Drosophila melanogaster: one gene and its partner. The protein of the gene in region 2 binds, or shares a complex with, the protein of the main gene of each other region. Each region holds a gene or a part of one and is shown on either strand. Other genes may lie near its edges. A codon is read from its position in the direction of its gene.

Region 1 (6,149 bases), 8.5 Mb from region 2:
TTTTGGATGGCGCCCGAGGTGATCAAGCAGTCACAGTACGATGCCAAGGCGGACATCTGGTCGTTGGGCATCACGGCTATCGAACTGGCCAAGGGTGAGCCGCCCAATTCGGAGCTGCATCCGATGCGCGTGCTCTTCCTCATCCCCAAGAACAATCCACCCCAGCTGACGGGCAGCTATACCAAGTCTTTTAAGGACTTTGTGGAGGCCTGCCTAAACAAGGACCCGGAGAACAGGCCCACGGCCAAGGAGCTGCTCAAGTACCCGTTCATCAAGAAGGCCAAGAAGAACGCCTATCTGATTGACCTGATCGACCGCTTCAAGAAGTGGAAGGTCTCCAAGGGCGACGAAAGTGAGACGGAGTCTGAGAACTCTGACTCGGACTCGGACGCCAAGCAGGGCGGCAGCAGCCAGGATGAGCCCTGGATCATGACCGTCAAGGGCCTGCATATCAACAGTGCTCCGCGGGCGGGTGTCAACAGCTTCCAGTTGCAGGAGCACGAGCTAACCATGCAGAAGCTGATGCAGACCACACACTCGCCAGCCGGCGGTGGTGGCGTGCAAGCGTCCCCTGCTGCAAATGCATTATCGTCCTCTGTGTCCGCCGTGGCGGCGTCAGCTTCCTCCGTATCGGTCATTACAGCCAACGAAGGTGTCTCCTCTGCATCCGCCCTGCCCCCCCAGAACAGTCACGTCCACAACCACAACCACAACAACATTAACAACAATAACATCAGAAACTTGAGCAACAAGCATGCCACCACCACCATGCTGAACGCAGCTCCTCCGCCGAGCAGCGTCACAAGCTCGTCGTCGGCCAGTGAGCTGCAGCAGAAGCGTTCCAGCTCGAAGCCGGAGCTGCGCCAGTCGCGATCCGCCGCCCCTCTGGATCAAGTAGAGGATCGCCGTGCCTCTTTGGGCCTGCCATTGCAGTCGTCGGTTCCGACTCCATCGACGGCTGAGCAGCAGCAACAGCGCCGCAGCAGCCAACGTGAATCATTCCATGCAAATAACGCCGCGCTGGTTGCCAGCTGCAGCAGCAGTAGCAACAACCACAGCCACGAGGAGCATGTGGCCACCAACCATGCCAGCCATGTCAAGCACTCTGGGGCGGGACAACGCCTAGTCCAAACGAACAGCGCCTGTCTGAACAACTTCCTCTTCCCCGTGCTGAGCGACATCCAGCGAAAGTACTCCGGCGGAGGATCTGCAGGAAGCGGAGGATCAGGCGGCCGTAACATAGGCGTCGGCAGCGACATCGGCGACCTGAAGTCTGTGTTCGAGCTGGCCGAACGTTCCAGTCCGGGAGTGAGCGACCTATTTATGAAAGAGCTGATCCACATGCTCGTTCCTGGTTACTCGGAGACGCGAATCAATACGATCATGGACCGCGCCATACGCAACCGCAAGTAGCTGGCGAAGCCGTAGCAAATTCCGATTCCAAGCAGCCTATTTTAATATATACACAACTTTATTAACGACACCGAGACAACACAAACTGAAACGCTGGAGCAGACATATTCCGACATTTAGTGGCCAACAGAGGACCGGGAGCGATGTACATGTATTTCAATTGAACAGTTATTTAAGCATATAATATGTATTCGTTTGTTTATCTGCAATATTAATCTAATGTAAAACATATATAACTTCAAAATAAAAACCCCACAAAAATAAACAATTCGATTTTGGCGCGCTAATGCGAACTTGGCATCATTGGTGACTCCGAGTATTCATTTGATCTGGCAACGCTGGACGCTAGCGAAAAATGCAGTAAATAAAAAAATAAATAAATTGAATAAACAGGATATCGTTAAATAAATAATAATTATAATCAAAAAGCCGTGCAAATAGAACATCAAAACGACCTTATTGGAAATGAGGAACCCAAGTTTTCTATTTGTTTTATATAAATAAAAATGGGACGTGTTTAGTTAAGTCGCGTTTTGGTGTATTTTTTGGCGCCTTGGAGACGGTAACACCAGTGGCAACGCCATTTTTGTTGACTCTTTATTTTTGTGTTTTAAGATTTCTTTTAGTTTTTATAAATTTTAATCAAGTATTCCGTGAACTGATAACTACATAACCATGGCGAATGCGGTGGTGGACGAGGAAACACTGGAGGCAATGGTCTACGAGCGCTCTAAGGCCTGGTCCAGTAAAATGGCGGTGAGTCCGTAGAAACCCAAGTGGCGTCTCTTCTTGATGGACGATATTGTTTTATAGGATTTTGCCAGCCTGGAAGACGGCATGGAAATAGATGTGGCCGAGTTCGACAACTTGTTCCACGGCGAGGACGAGGACCCCGACCTGGATGACGTGGCAAAGGAGGCTGTGGAGGACAATGTGCCCGACGAGGCAAAGCTTGAAATGGGCCATATCAACGCCACCAGCGTTACAGAACTGACACTTATACTTTGCGCCAATGAGGATAACGAGGCAAAGGCGGAGATCGAGGAAATCCTTAATCAAACGGTGCCGGTGGTCGAGGAGCACAAGCGCAAGTGGCGGGAGGCGGGACTGGATCGCATTCTGGACACTTTTGATGAAAAGCAGATCGAACACCATGTGGGCCGCTGGATGCGAAGGCACAACAGCGTCTACCTGGAGGCCTCACCACCAAAGTACCTTCCACCGCACCACAACTCAATCTCAGACGAAAGCGACGAATCGATGCACTCCATCGACACGGCTCGCTACATCCAGCAGAGTCGTCGGCGCAATGCTCACATGACCAACAAGAACATGACCACCATTAAGATGTACCGTAAACACTCTCACAAACGAGACGAGTTGCGGGCAAAGTACGCCTATGGTGACGAGCAGGAGCATCGTCACCACATGCAGGCCGTGTTGCTTCGCCGACGTGAGAGGGAGCGCCAGCTTGCATATCTGGCGTCTACGCCGATGCAATGCGTCTACTCCAGCGGCCATCATATGAGACGCAAGAATCTGCGTAAGCGGCGCATAAACTCCTGGATGTTTGACTCGGCATCCAGCAGCGAGGAGGATACATCATTCGGCGGCTGCGACTGCCACTCCTGCCGGAGGCATTACGCTCTGTCTAGAAGTGTCTACCAGTCCTGCCCGTACGGCAGAGGTCAACGCGAGTATCACCACCGTCAGATGGCATCTCGAACCATGCACACCATGCGCCGCCAACACACCTTCGATATGGAAATGGACTTGAGACCAAGGCTGCCAGAGAACGAGTGTAGTTGCTGCAATAGTGACCGCCTATGCTCCAATGTCATTCACATTGCCAATAGCTCAACCGAAGAGTGGGTGGTGGAGAACAGAAGTAATCATTTGACCCAGGAGACACAGGAAAAGACTAGGAAGCAAAAGCACCAACCGATGGATGCCAGGAAAGTTAGTCATCAACCGGTATGCTCCAAAGGTCACGAACAAAAGCCACTGAGTTCGAAAGCTACCTCTGTTTCCAAATTGGTCTTATCGAAAGAAAAGTATATGCAAATGTTTGATAGTGAGTCTTCCGATGAAGATAACGCCTTGGCTAAAAAAGGATTGCTATGCTGTTCGGATAAAAAAAAAGGAATGACATTTCCAACTCCAAATGCCGCTGGTAAGATTACCCATCCTACTTCCTCGGCGAAGAAGGCTATAAGAAAAGAAGCGCGTCCCAATGGTTTGGCACAAATACAAGAAGAAGGGCCGACTGCAACGAACTCTCCAATTGAATCCACGTATCTTCCAGTTGCTCATATGAAAAGCGTATCTATTGACGGATCAAGTGGTACATCTGCAACATTTGAATCTCCAGCAAAGAAAGCGCCTAAGAGGGGTATTAGGGAAACTTCACCACTCAACGGAAATGAATTACAGCAGCTGATATCAACAATCCCTATAGCTGACGAAAAGGCATCGAGTCTTATGGAAAAAGTGGATAATTGTATTGGAAGAGAATCTTTCGACGACAGAAATAAGGATTTCATGCACATGGAGAACTCATCGACTAAGACTGCCGTTGAAAAGTCTACCAAACAGAAAAGGGTTTCTGGTAAAAAGTCCGAAATTCCAAAGAGTATTATTACTAACAACGAAATCCTGGAAAAAAACAGCACTGAAACCTTATCTGAAAAACAAGTTGCAGCTAAGGCAAAAAAGCAGTCAGTTAGAAAGACAGGTGCGACCGGAAAACCGTCTACTTCGAGATTGAAAAAGTCAGAAAAAACGAAAACAACTTCTTCTGTGACTTCGACTTCGAAGTTAGAGCAAGTCAGGGAAGAGGAGTCCGATGTATCATCAGAAGTACTGGCAAAACCTAAACCACAATGTTCAACTACGGCAAGCATTTTAAAGCAAGGTGGTGATGGGGCATCAAACTCGGAGGATGATCTGCAAATAGCCCTGGCTATGTCGAAGGCCACCTACAAGGAGGAACAACAGAAGCGCAAAAAAACGAAAAGGGAGCCATCTAATAAGCAGCCCCAATCACCTGCAGAGAAATCAATGACGGTATTCAACAATCAAAGCGTAGCGTGCAACTCCACAGCTCTGGCCAACGACACGGCTTGCTACCGCGTGCTTCCCAAGAGACGAGGAGTCAAGAGGGCAGCCGCTGTTAGCACTACGGAGGAGAAGACAGCGACGAACAGCTCGAGCTCCCCAACGAGCAGTTTGGAAGAGATGGGCAGCCCCACAGGCGGGGATCCTGACTGCACTGTAGTTACATCTACCACTGGCTGCGAACCGCCTGCAAGTGAACGACAAGAGATTCCAGCGACCATCAAGATCACCAAGCGCGGCATTCTGCTGCACAGCCCTTCCGCGCCGGAAGGCGCCAGCTTCACACTGACCGAGCAGGGACTCGGAAAGATTATTGGAGAACGTTGGGCCCGCAAGTACCTGAAGTACCACATCGGCAGTCGGAGCTTTGATAGCCGACACTCGGTTTACTATCAGCCGACTCCCCAACTCGCCGCAGCTCTCAGTGCACCGCAGGATGCGCAGAACATCGGGAACATCTCGGGCTCAAGTGCAAGCGATGATGACATCTTCGAGCAAATCAATCGATATGGAACGGTGTACAGCATACTCGAGAATAATTCCGGTGACAAGTAATTAAGTAGTTAGGTTTCATATTTCAGACCTATTTTTTAAATATATTAGGTTCATGTTTTGGTTGTACATGACGGATTTCTTGGTGGTGTTAAACACGTCCTTGCAAAAGAAATTATATAAGAAAAGTTGTATTTAGTTCATTTTTTTGTGTTTTGATTTATTTCACGTAAATTACATGATCGATAGTGATAATAGAAAACATAATACGTCATAATCATTTTAATCATCATAAATTTTTCGCTTAAGTATTAAATAATTGTTTAAGAGATTTATTCGCATTGCAATAGTAATTCTTGTGTGTCGAAGTTGTGCTTTAGTTCGTTTCCATGAAGTCTATCAAAATTCATATCGGCAATTGTTAATTTTATGTATTCACAAGAAAACAAATAAAACGTAAGATCAATTTAAAGAGTGAAAATGGCGCGTCGAAAAACAGAAGCTTCTTCCTTCCATGTATGTACAAATAACAAAAACTTACCTAAAATATGATGATAAATCAAGAAATTAAAATTAAACAAAGAGCGTTATGATGAAAACAAGAAACACACGACTTTTGACCCTGGAACATGCGCGCCCACACACATACACATGCGAAGCATATATCTACACGTACACATATGCCTGGCCGGCTATATAGCGCCCTACACATCGATCTGGAATGGGGAGCCGGGTATATGCTCCTCGCCCCACTTGATTAGGAGCACGTACTGGCCGCGATCGCGCACCAGATACTGCACATTATAGTTGTTGTGGCCAGCGTGCTTCACGTGGAACTCCTCGCAGGGTCCCTTTGGTCCGTACATGCCCACGTACAGGATGTTGTTGCCTTTTAACAAAAGCAGGATATATTATAACATCAAGTTTAAAATGGGTATGAATATTACTCACCCGCATCGGTGGCGCTGATGCTGAACTGGTTCTGCTTGCCAATGTAGGCCTTCTTCAGGCCCATACCCTTGGACACCACCTTGCTGGCATCCGACTTAAAGGTGGGCAGATGGACGCCCGTGTTCTTGCCTCCTTTGGCCACCTTCTGCACGGTCTCCACGATCACCGTGGACGTC
Region 2 (7,572 bases):
AAAAATTCCGATTCAATTGTCTGTGCACACTCGGCGAAAATATGTGAACCGAGAACATGTGCAAGCATGTGAATATAAAATATTTAGTTTTTTAGCTTCCCATTAACATATTTTAAACCAATCAAGTGAACTAAAGAATATATATAAGATTATCTATATATAAAATCGTTCTATTAATTCCTTTTATTTGCAAGGTATTTTCCGGGAAACTCGTAATAGAGTGCGGCGTGTGGGATGATCAAAGGGTTGACACTGCTGTAATGAATGTTAGATGGTGTTTTGTTAATTTTAAACGATGTTCCAAGTCCCGTGTGGGGATGCAGGCACTGGCACACCTGCCGGAAAAGTTTCTGTTGATTCAATTTTTGTTTTGTTTTTTTTTTTTTTACAAATTTATGTTTGTGTTCCTGCTGCGTGTGATTTGTGTGTGTGCTTTTTTAAAAATTGCCATACAAAGCAGACGTGCAGATTGTTTTGAAAGTTGCCTGCTTATTTGTTCTTTCTGGCGTTGTTACCCCTGTTTGCCATTTCGCTTTTGAAGTCTCCAATGCCATCAACATCACGGCGAGCGACTTGTGAATTTCAAAGAAAATGGAAATAAAATGAACTTGAAATTCTAAGCAGCTAGGATATGACCCGAAGTTATGGCGTGGGTCTATCACCTTTGCTACTTAAAATACATGAAAAAACTATGTCGGTCTTACATATTTTAACAAAACAACTCTTTATTATTTTTATTTTCTGTGGCGAAAACGTAAGAAATATAAATCGGCTCAATACTTATCCGTATATAAATTACAAAGCAATTACTAACTGCGTATACACATCAGCACACTGACTTTATCTATCGCATTTTGAATACTATACCTAGTGCCTAAGGAAGAAAAGAAACATTCAAATAATATATAATAAATATTATTCAGCAATATCTTACCCCTATCTATCTCGATCATGTCACCAACACGCAGAACAGAATGGACTTCCTTCTCTTCGCCCACGGCTAAGGTCTCCACATTAAATTCGCCAAATTGCACAAGGAGTTTCTAAAAGCAGAATAGGTTTTAAAATGATCTGCGAGTTGAATGGGAATAATCTTATATTTTACTTACAAGTGGATGGACTTTCGCTTGTTTCATGCTACGTTTTTGGTATGGCTTGAATCGCATATAACCCAGCATTGCTTTCTCCTTTGTATTGTAGAAAGCGTAGTCGATACCATCTACCTGACAGAAAATCAATTCGTTTGCAGAAGCTGGCAATGAAAAATAGCAATTATTAATAAATAAGCTATATGGATTCAATTTCTATAGATTTTACACTTACAGACACTGGCGTTTTCATCCGACATACTTGCACTGGGTGGTGCATCGCCGACGCCACGCAGCCACTGCATCAGTTTAGTGGAGGCTTCTTCCTGCTCGTCTCTCAGGGGAGTTGAAAATACGACGGGACCTAGCGCAGCTTCCGTATAAGGCGCCTGCTCGTCAGGAACGTCAGGCTCTTCCTGATCGCTTGTAAGTGGAGCAACCGAAGATATCATAGGCTCTGGCTCTGGTTCTGGCTCAGCCTCCGTATCAGTTTGGACACCTCCAACTGCCTTCTTTGGTCGTCCCCTTTTCTTGGGCACCTTCTCAGCCTCTGCTTGCACTTCAGTTTCTTCCCACGTCAAGGTACTCAGGCCAAGGGATTCGGAATGCGGTATGGCCCCTGGCAGCTTTTCAGAAATTCTTGGGGTACTGCTGCACAATGGTCCCCGGTTGTCGGGTAAGTTCTTCTCTACAGTAGGCTTTGGCTTTGTGGCACTGGCTTTCTTCGCCTTACTCAAATTTCCCTTTTTCGTCTTTGAGTTTTTGCTGCGAGGCTCTATGAAGCCACTCATAAAGTTAAACTTGCTAGGATCCATGGTGTGACACCAACTCATCTGAAGTGGAACTTGACCGCGCTTTGATCTCCGAATACCGGCTAAGGGAGCAGAAAATAATAGAGCATACATTTAATTTTATCAAAACATTTATTATTGAATATACTCACTAGTATTTAGTTCCTCAGCTTCCACCGGCATTTTGGCCAGCTTTAATTTGTCTACTTCAGACTTCCCTTTTTTTGATTTCGCCCTTGGTGCAGGTGCCAATGGTTTCTTGAACACCACATCCGCGCTTGATTCATCCGGGGGACGACTCTTTGACATGTTCTGACTACGCTGCAAAAACTCCAACGCCGCTCTACTCGTGCTGGGTACGTCGTCAGACAAAAGAGTCCTACTGGGAGATGGATTTCTGCTGGGAACATCATCTGAGTTTTGATCAATCGGAGGAGTGGGTGTGTTAACGCGAAGTGATTCCATAACGTCTGATGATTTCTCGGTACATTCTTCCCCTCGATTGCTTAGAGCTACGGATTTTTCTGTACCAACTGCATTCTGGCGGGGATTTGAGAGTTTCTGGGACTTAGATGAACGATTGGCTAACTTATCATTTTCTTTGCTTTTTGATGCGTTCTGGTGATTACGATTCTGTTTGTTACAGGACGAATTCCAATTTGGATCTGGACCTTCAATACATTCTAATGTATGTGATGCCATTTCATCCTTATCGCTCTTTCTTCTAGTGACATTTTTATTTTGAGATTCCTCTTTTCCGTATTCTTCATTGTAAATTGGTTCCTCGTCACTGTCATAGTCTTCGTTATTTTCGTACGAAGGTGCAATAATTTGTTCCTTATTGGACTTTTGTACACTCTGTTTGGAGTGCTGCAATTTTTTTCCACTTCTCCTCAGTATACTTGCTTGCCCATGGTCACTATCGTCGTACTCTGGTGGCTCTGGCGGTTCACAATATTCTACTGCGTTATGTGTATTTCGATCAACAAGATTGCCATTTTTCGTCGATCTCCTTGATTGCTCATTGTTGCGATTCTCTTCTTCAACATATTCGATAGGAGGTGGTACCAGTTCGTTCTCCATCGCCCTTCGTCCATTCTGAGTGGATTGTTGAAGTTCTTTGGCTGTGCAACGCGGCTGGCTTGGTCGCTCATCATGTTCTTCTTCCTGGCCCCCTTCGTACCCCGGTGGAGGTAAAACCAGGTCATTTTTATTGCTCTTTCGCCCACTTGTGCTTCTGCCCCGTGTATTTACAACGTACTCTGGAGGCGGGGGAGCAATCTCAATTGCATCACTATTTACACTATCATGGAAATCTGGTGGGGCTGCCATCACGACATTATCGAAATCAAATTTTCCGGAGCAGGGCAGATTTTGCAAAGATTGCGAATAGCGCAGTGAAACTGGAGGTGGCGGAACAATTTGGATGCTCTTGCTTAGTCTTGGCAATTTTACAGGTGATAATGAATCGTTATCTTCATGGTCCGAGCTACCCTTTGTGTACAGACAACGCTTGCCGTCCTTTGAAGATTTGCGTCGAGTCTCTAAAGTCTGGGAGAGACCCAAATAGTTTACCAATTCTGTTGTCTGCAAAACGGGGAAAAAAGGTTTTTTTTTTCCTTCGCAACATATAAGCGATCTTGAACTTACCATTGGAAGATCACGACGAGTAGATCGTGGTCGCCCTCGTCCCTGCGATCGATCATTGCTTTTAGTTCGAAGACTTTGTGTTTTTGGCGGAACCGGTATATAGTCTTCATTCGAATCATCCGAGGACTGTTGTTTTGGCAAACCTTCGGCCTCATCCATTAGATTTCTACGTAGCAGCTCCCTCTGAATCTCTTCTTCTAGGATAAGCTTCTCTGAACGATGGTTTCTGTGCCCATTTAAAGGATATATCTCGTTCAACGAGTTGCGCTTGCGCAAATCCAAAATCTCGTAGTTGCTCATCCGGGTTAGCTCGCGGGCAAACTGCTCGCCATTAATGGGGGCACTTGGAGCCTTATTCAGCGGTATAGCAGTCTTTCGCGGCTTTGACTTTTTGGCATTGACCGACTTGTGAAGGTTAAGCAAGCGCATAGAGCTCTCCTGAGATTCGATTGTAGCTCGAGCCCGATTACTACTGCGCAAACGCCGTTGCCGGGTTGTGTTCCCACCTGAAGGAGCTAGATTTAATGGCACAGTGCTGGGATGTTCGTCGCTTTCGTCGTCGGTCATTATGGCATCCATATTTTCTTCCACCCGCGGCAGTTGTGCAATGGATTTCTGGGGAGAGGCAGCGGCGGATCGCCTAGGAGAAGGCGCAATCGGTGGTGAAGATAACGCCGTAACTGGCGAAGTCGGAACAGATTTCATTGCGACAGCGTCCCTTCTTACACTACGATTCGAATTGGATGTGTTTATCACCACAATTGGGCTGATCGCGCTGCGCGACAGAGTCTGCACCAACTCTCCCAGATCCTGCGGCTGGGTTTCCGGCACTACGAACTCCGGTTGGGGCTCTGATTGCCAGGCTGGGTCGTGACTTTGTCGCTCTGGCGTGTCCGGGACCATTAACTCCTGATTGAACCGCTTTGCCTTAACTACTGGCATTTTGCTCGGTGTGTCATAGCGATGTGATGGCGATAGCAGCAGCTGGCCTGGAGCTGGGCCCTTTTCCATTGTGTAGGTACGTCGTAGGCCCGCAACGGATGGTGATGACGGAGTAGGGGGTCGCGAGTACGGTGCCCGTCCAGAATAGTCCAGCTGCAGTACATTCTTGTGAAAGGAACTCTGTCGCTCTTTGCAGATTTGTTCAATTTCAGCTGCAAGAATAGGGTTCCTGGCAGGTGAGGTCACCTTTGTCTGCAGCGGATTTTCCGGCTCTGGTTCTTGTGATAGTTCCATAGGTTTTTCCGCTGGTTTATCAGTTTCCACTCTTGTTGTATTTTTGGCAACTTCCTCTTTTTGTTTCTCTGTGCAAGGTGTGCTGCTTATTTCTGGTAACTAAAAGAGCATTGTTGTTAGTACAAGGATTAGGTATTTGTGGGACATGTATTTAACATACGAAGTTTACAGGACTTGATATGCTGCGGGTCAAGTTTACGGTCTCCTCAAACTCTGGAAGCAATTGGCGTCCACAGCTCCTGGACCGCCGGCGGATGGCATGTCGACGTAGTTTATCAGATCCGGGTACATTTCCACTGCGGCGCATGGAACGTCGGTTATTGGGCGACAATGTTGGCGATCGACGCGGAGGCACGTTCTCATTGGGGGCCTGGTCCACAGGCGGCTCATTGACTTTCTCGGTGGCGGCACTGTTTTTGCTGACCAACTCCCCAAGGGGCTGTACTTCTGGTAGTTTGGACTTGGGCTTAGCCTGAGACTTCTTGATCAGTGGAACCTCGAAATCAAGGTCAAAGTCAAGTTTGAAGTTTCCAAAGAGATTGTCATTCTGTGCCGGCTTATTTTCGGCAAGCTTGCGCATCATAAAGGCGGCGAAGCGCTCCTTGTCCTTCACTGGCTGGCTTAGGATGTCGTCCAGCTCCAGAGTGTCGTTGTTCTGGGGCTTCGACCTGAAAAACAGACGGGTGAGCTCGGAGTTTGTATGTTCTCTTGCCTATGGCATGCTCGCGGTGGCAACTTACATATTTGCAATTGAAACTTGAAAAAAGGATTCTTCACGAAGTTACATACACGACAACAATAAACTTAACTTATTTCGCTAAAACTCCACAAAATTTTAAACTACAAAAAAGACGCGACGCTATTCATTTGGCGTTGCCAGTAACGTCTGTAGGCGCGCCTAGGTGGGGTGTTGCCAGAGCGCTCGAATAGACTATCAGAAAAGAGCTATAAATATCTAAAAGTTTCTTTGATAATAATAAGACATCACCCTGTATAATTACAAATGCATGATGCAATCGTTTTTAAACAGTTATTGTTAAATACAGCTGAGTTTATTTCAAAAGTTTTTATTGAAAATATACTCGAAAGCGTTGACCAGCAGGCAACCATTATATGCAGTATTTCATTACTAAAATATACTAAACGCGTAAAACGCAAGCTGGTCACACTTTGCCGGCAATTTTTGTTGACAAAACAAATCCAAAATGTTTAAAGCAAACTAAACCGACTTTTCAGATTGATCTATTTGTTCGAATTCACTTTATAACAACTGGAAGCAGCTTTGAAAAGCAACCAAAAAGTGGAGCTATACATTTTCTGCGAGAAGGCATGCAATAGAGACGCTGTGAAAACGACTTTGCGTTCGAGGTTTTGATTCTGTTGGAAAAGGATTACGATATCCATATAACCAGAGATTGGAGTTTTTTAACTGAATTCATGAATTCCCAATAAGATCCCCTATTCCACAGCACCAATACTCAGTAGTATAAGGCTGGCCAACTGTAATAATGGAGCTTGGATAGCTTCAAAGTGACCGATTGACATGACTTTATAAGTTAGTTATTTATTAAAGGTTATTAAAGATTAGGTATTCGAATGTGTTAGTAATGAAATAAGAAGCAGACGAATGGTTCATTTGAACTTCTTTCCGCCCTTTCTCGTCGTAGGAGCATCCACGCTGGGCACCTGAACGGAGTAATACTTCGTGGAGATCCTGTTAAGGAAGTAGAGCCCCACCAGGGAAAAGAGAACACTGGTGGTGGCGCAGACACGATGCACGAGTCCCGCGGCGGCCACCGTGAGTGAGAGACAGAAAATAATCTCTGGTAGCAGCTTGGCCTGGAAGTCCTGGCCGAAAACAACCATCTCCGCGTTGGAGACGCACGTGAGGCTCAGGATGAACACCCAGGAGAAGAGGTATCCGCCCAAAAGGACCCTCAGCTGCGAGTCGTTAAACCATTCTGAGCAGAAACGCAGTGTGCCGAACAAAACAATGCTCAGGAGGCCCGAGATGATGGAGGATACCACGGTGCTCTTACTGCTCACTGAAGCGGCTGCAAAGGTTCAGAGTTTAGTTTTTGTTGGCCGTAATTTCCTTGCATTTGCTTACACATATTACTTTTTCTTCCAGCCGGCGTCTTTCTTATACGTGTAGTGAATTATCGAACTATCGAAACTGATATTTGATAATACAAGGGATATTCCAGTATGTAACGACTAAACAAAGTTTTATTCGTTAGGCAGGCATTTTTCTCTATTTTTTTTACGTATTTACATGAAAAATTCTCGAATGACAAATTTGTGCTTGCAATAAAAATAAAAACAGATATCGTTATTTAAATACTGACATCGATAATTTTTTTTGAGAAGTAATATTTAAATCAATTGATGTGGCAACGCTGCGGCTTTCGTGGTGAATGACATTTGTAGTAACAACATTACACTTGAGCACAATTTTAATAAATTGTAAATAAAAAACGCCTTCAACATGTCCTTTGTGTTGCAATTGGCCACCAGGACAGTACGAAGTACCATTGCTCAGGTGCGTGGCGTAGCCACCACAATGCCAAGGCAAATAAAAGAGAGTGAGTTACAGAGACCTCTGTGAAGTGTTTCATAACCCCTCAAATAAATGCACATCTTTAAAATTAATTCGAATTTCTGTTCAATGCCTGTTCCAGTTCATGAGAAGCAGGAGAACAGTGTAAAGATCTTCGAGGGCGTTAATGTGGAATCGCCGCGTGCTCACCTGATGCTTAAATCCGCCTGCCAGACCAAGTTTTGCCCGGAATGCACCTTGGGCCTGG

The links.
Region 1: the proteins of Cenp-C (region 2) and cal1 are in contact, whole or in part, in a crystal structure (PDB 6XWV), measured with the Drosophila melanogaster proteins. Residues at the interface, in NP_731254.2 of Drosophila melanogaster: Glu1302 (codon at 1,339), Ala1304 (codon at 1,333), Val1306 (codon at 1,327), Ser1307 (codon at 1,324), Glu1311 (codon at 1,241), Ile1313 (codon at 1,235), Gln1316 (codon at 1,226), Val1317 (codon at 1,223), Asp1318 (codon at 1,220), Phe1324 (codon at 1,202), Asn1326 (codon at 1,196), Thr1327 (codon at 1,193), Lys1328 (codon at 1,190), Lys1330 (codon at 1,184); in NP_650597.2 of Drosophila melanogaster: Thr890 (codon at 4,813), Leu891 (codon at 4,816), Thr892 (codon at 4,819), Glu893 (codon at 4,822), Leu896 (codon at 4,831), Ile899 (codon at 4,840), Ile900 (codon at 4,843), Gly901 (codon at 4,846), Arg903 (codon at 4,852), Trp904 (codon at 4,855), Lys907 (codon at 4,864), Tyr908 (codon at 4,867), Tyr911 (codon at 4,876).

The regions. Positions count from the first base shown.
Region 1 is NT_033777.3:17,086,314-17,092,462, forward strand, and holds cal1 (chromosome alignment defect 1), read left to right. Parts: upstream 1-1,966; 5' UTR 1,967-2,088; coding exon 2,089-2,169; intron 2,170-2,226; coding exon 2,227-5,085; 3' UTR 5,086-5,625; downstream 5,626-6,149. Other genes in the region: GckIII (germinal centre kinase III), read left to right, coding at 1-1,413; cher (cheerio), read right to left, coding at 5,727-5,911, 5,974-6,149.
Region 2 is NT_033777.3:8,562,190-8,569,761, reverse strand, and holds Cenp-C (centromeric protein-C), read right to left. Parts: upstream 5,658-7,572; 5' UTR 5,508-5,657; coding exon 5,506-5,507; intron 5,434-5,505; coding exon 4,926-5,433; intron 4,865-4,925; coding exon 3,530-4,864; intron 3,467-3,529; coding exon 2,032-3,466; intron 1,963-2,031; coding exon 1,324-1,962; intron 1,253-1,323; coding exon 1,110-1,252; intron 1,044-1,109; coding exon 935-1,043; intron 875-934; coding exon 810-874; 3' UTR 514-809; downstream 1-513. Other genes in the region: CG31460 (uncharacterized protein), read right to left, coding at 6,398-6,819, 6,876-6,879; mRpS18A (mitochondrial ribosomal protein S18A), read left to right, coding at 7,254-7,350, 7,447-7,572.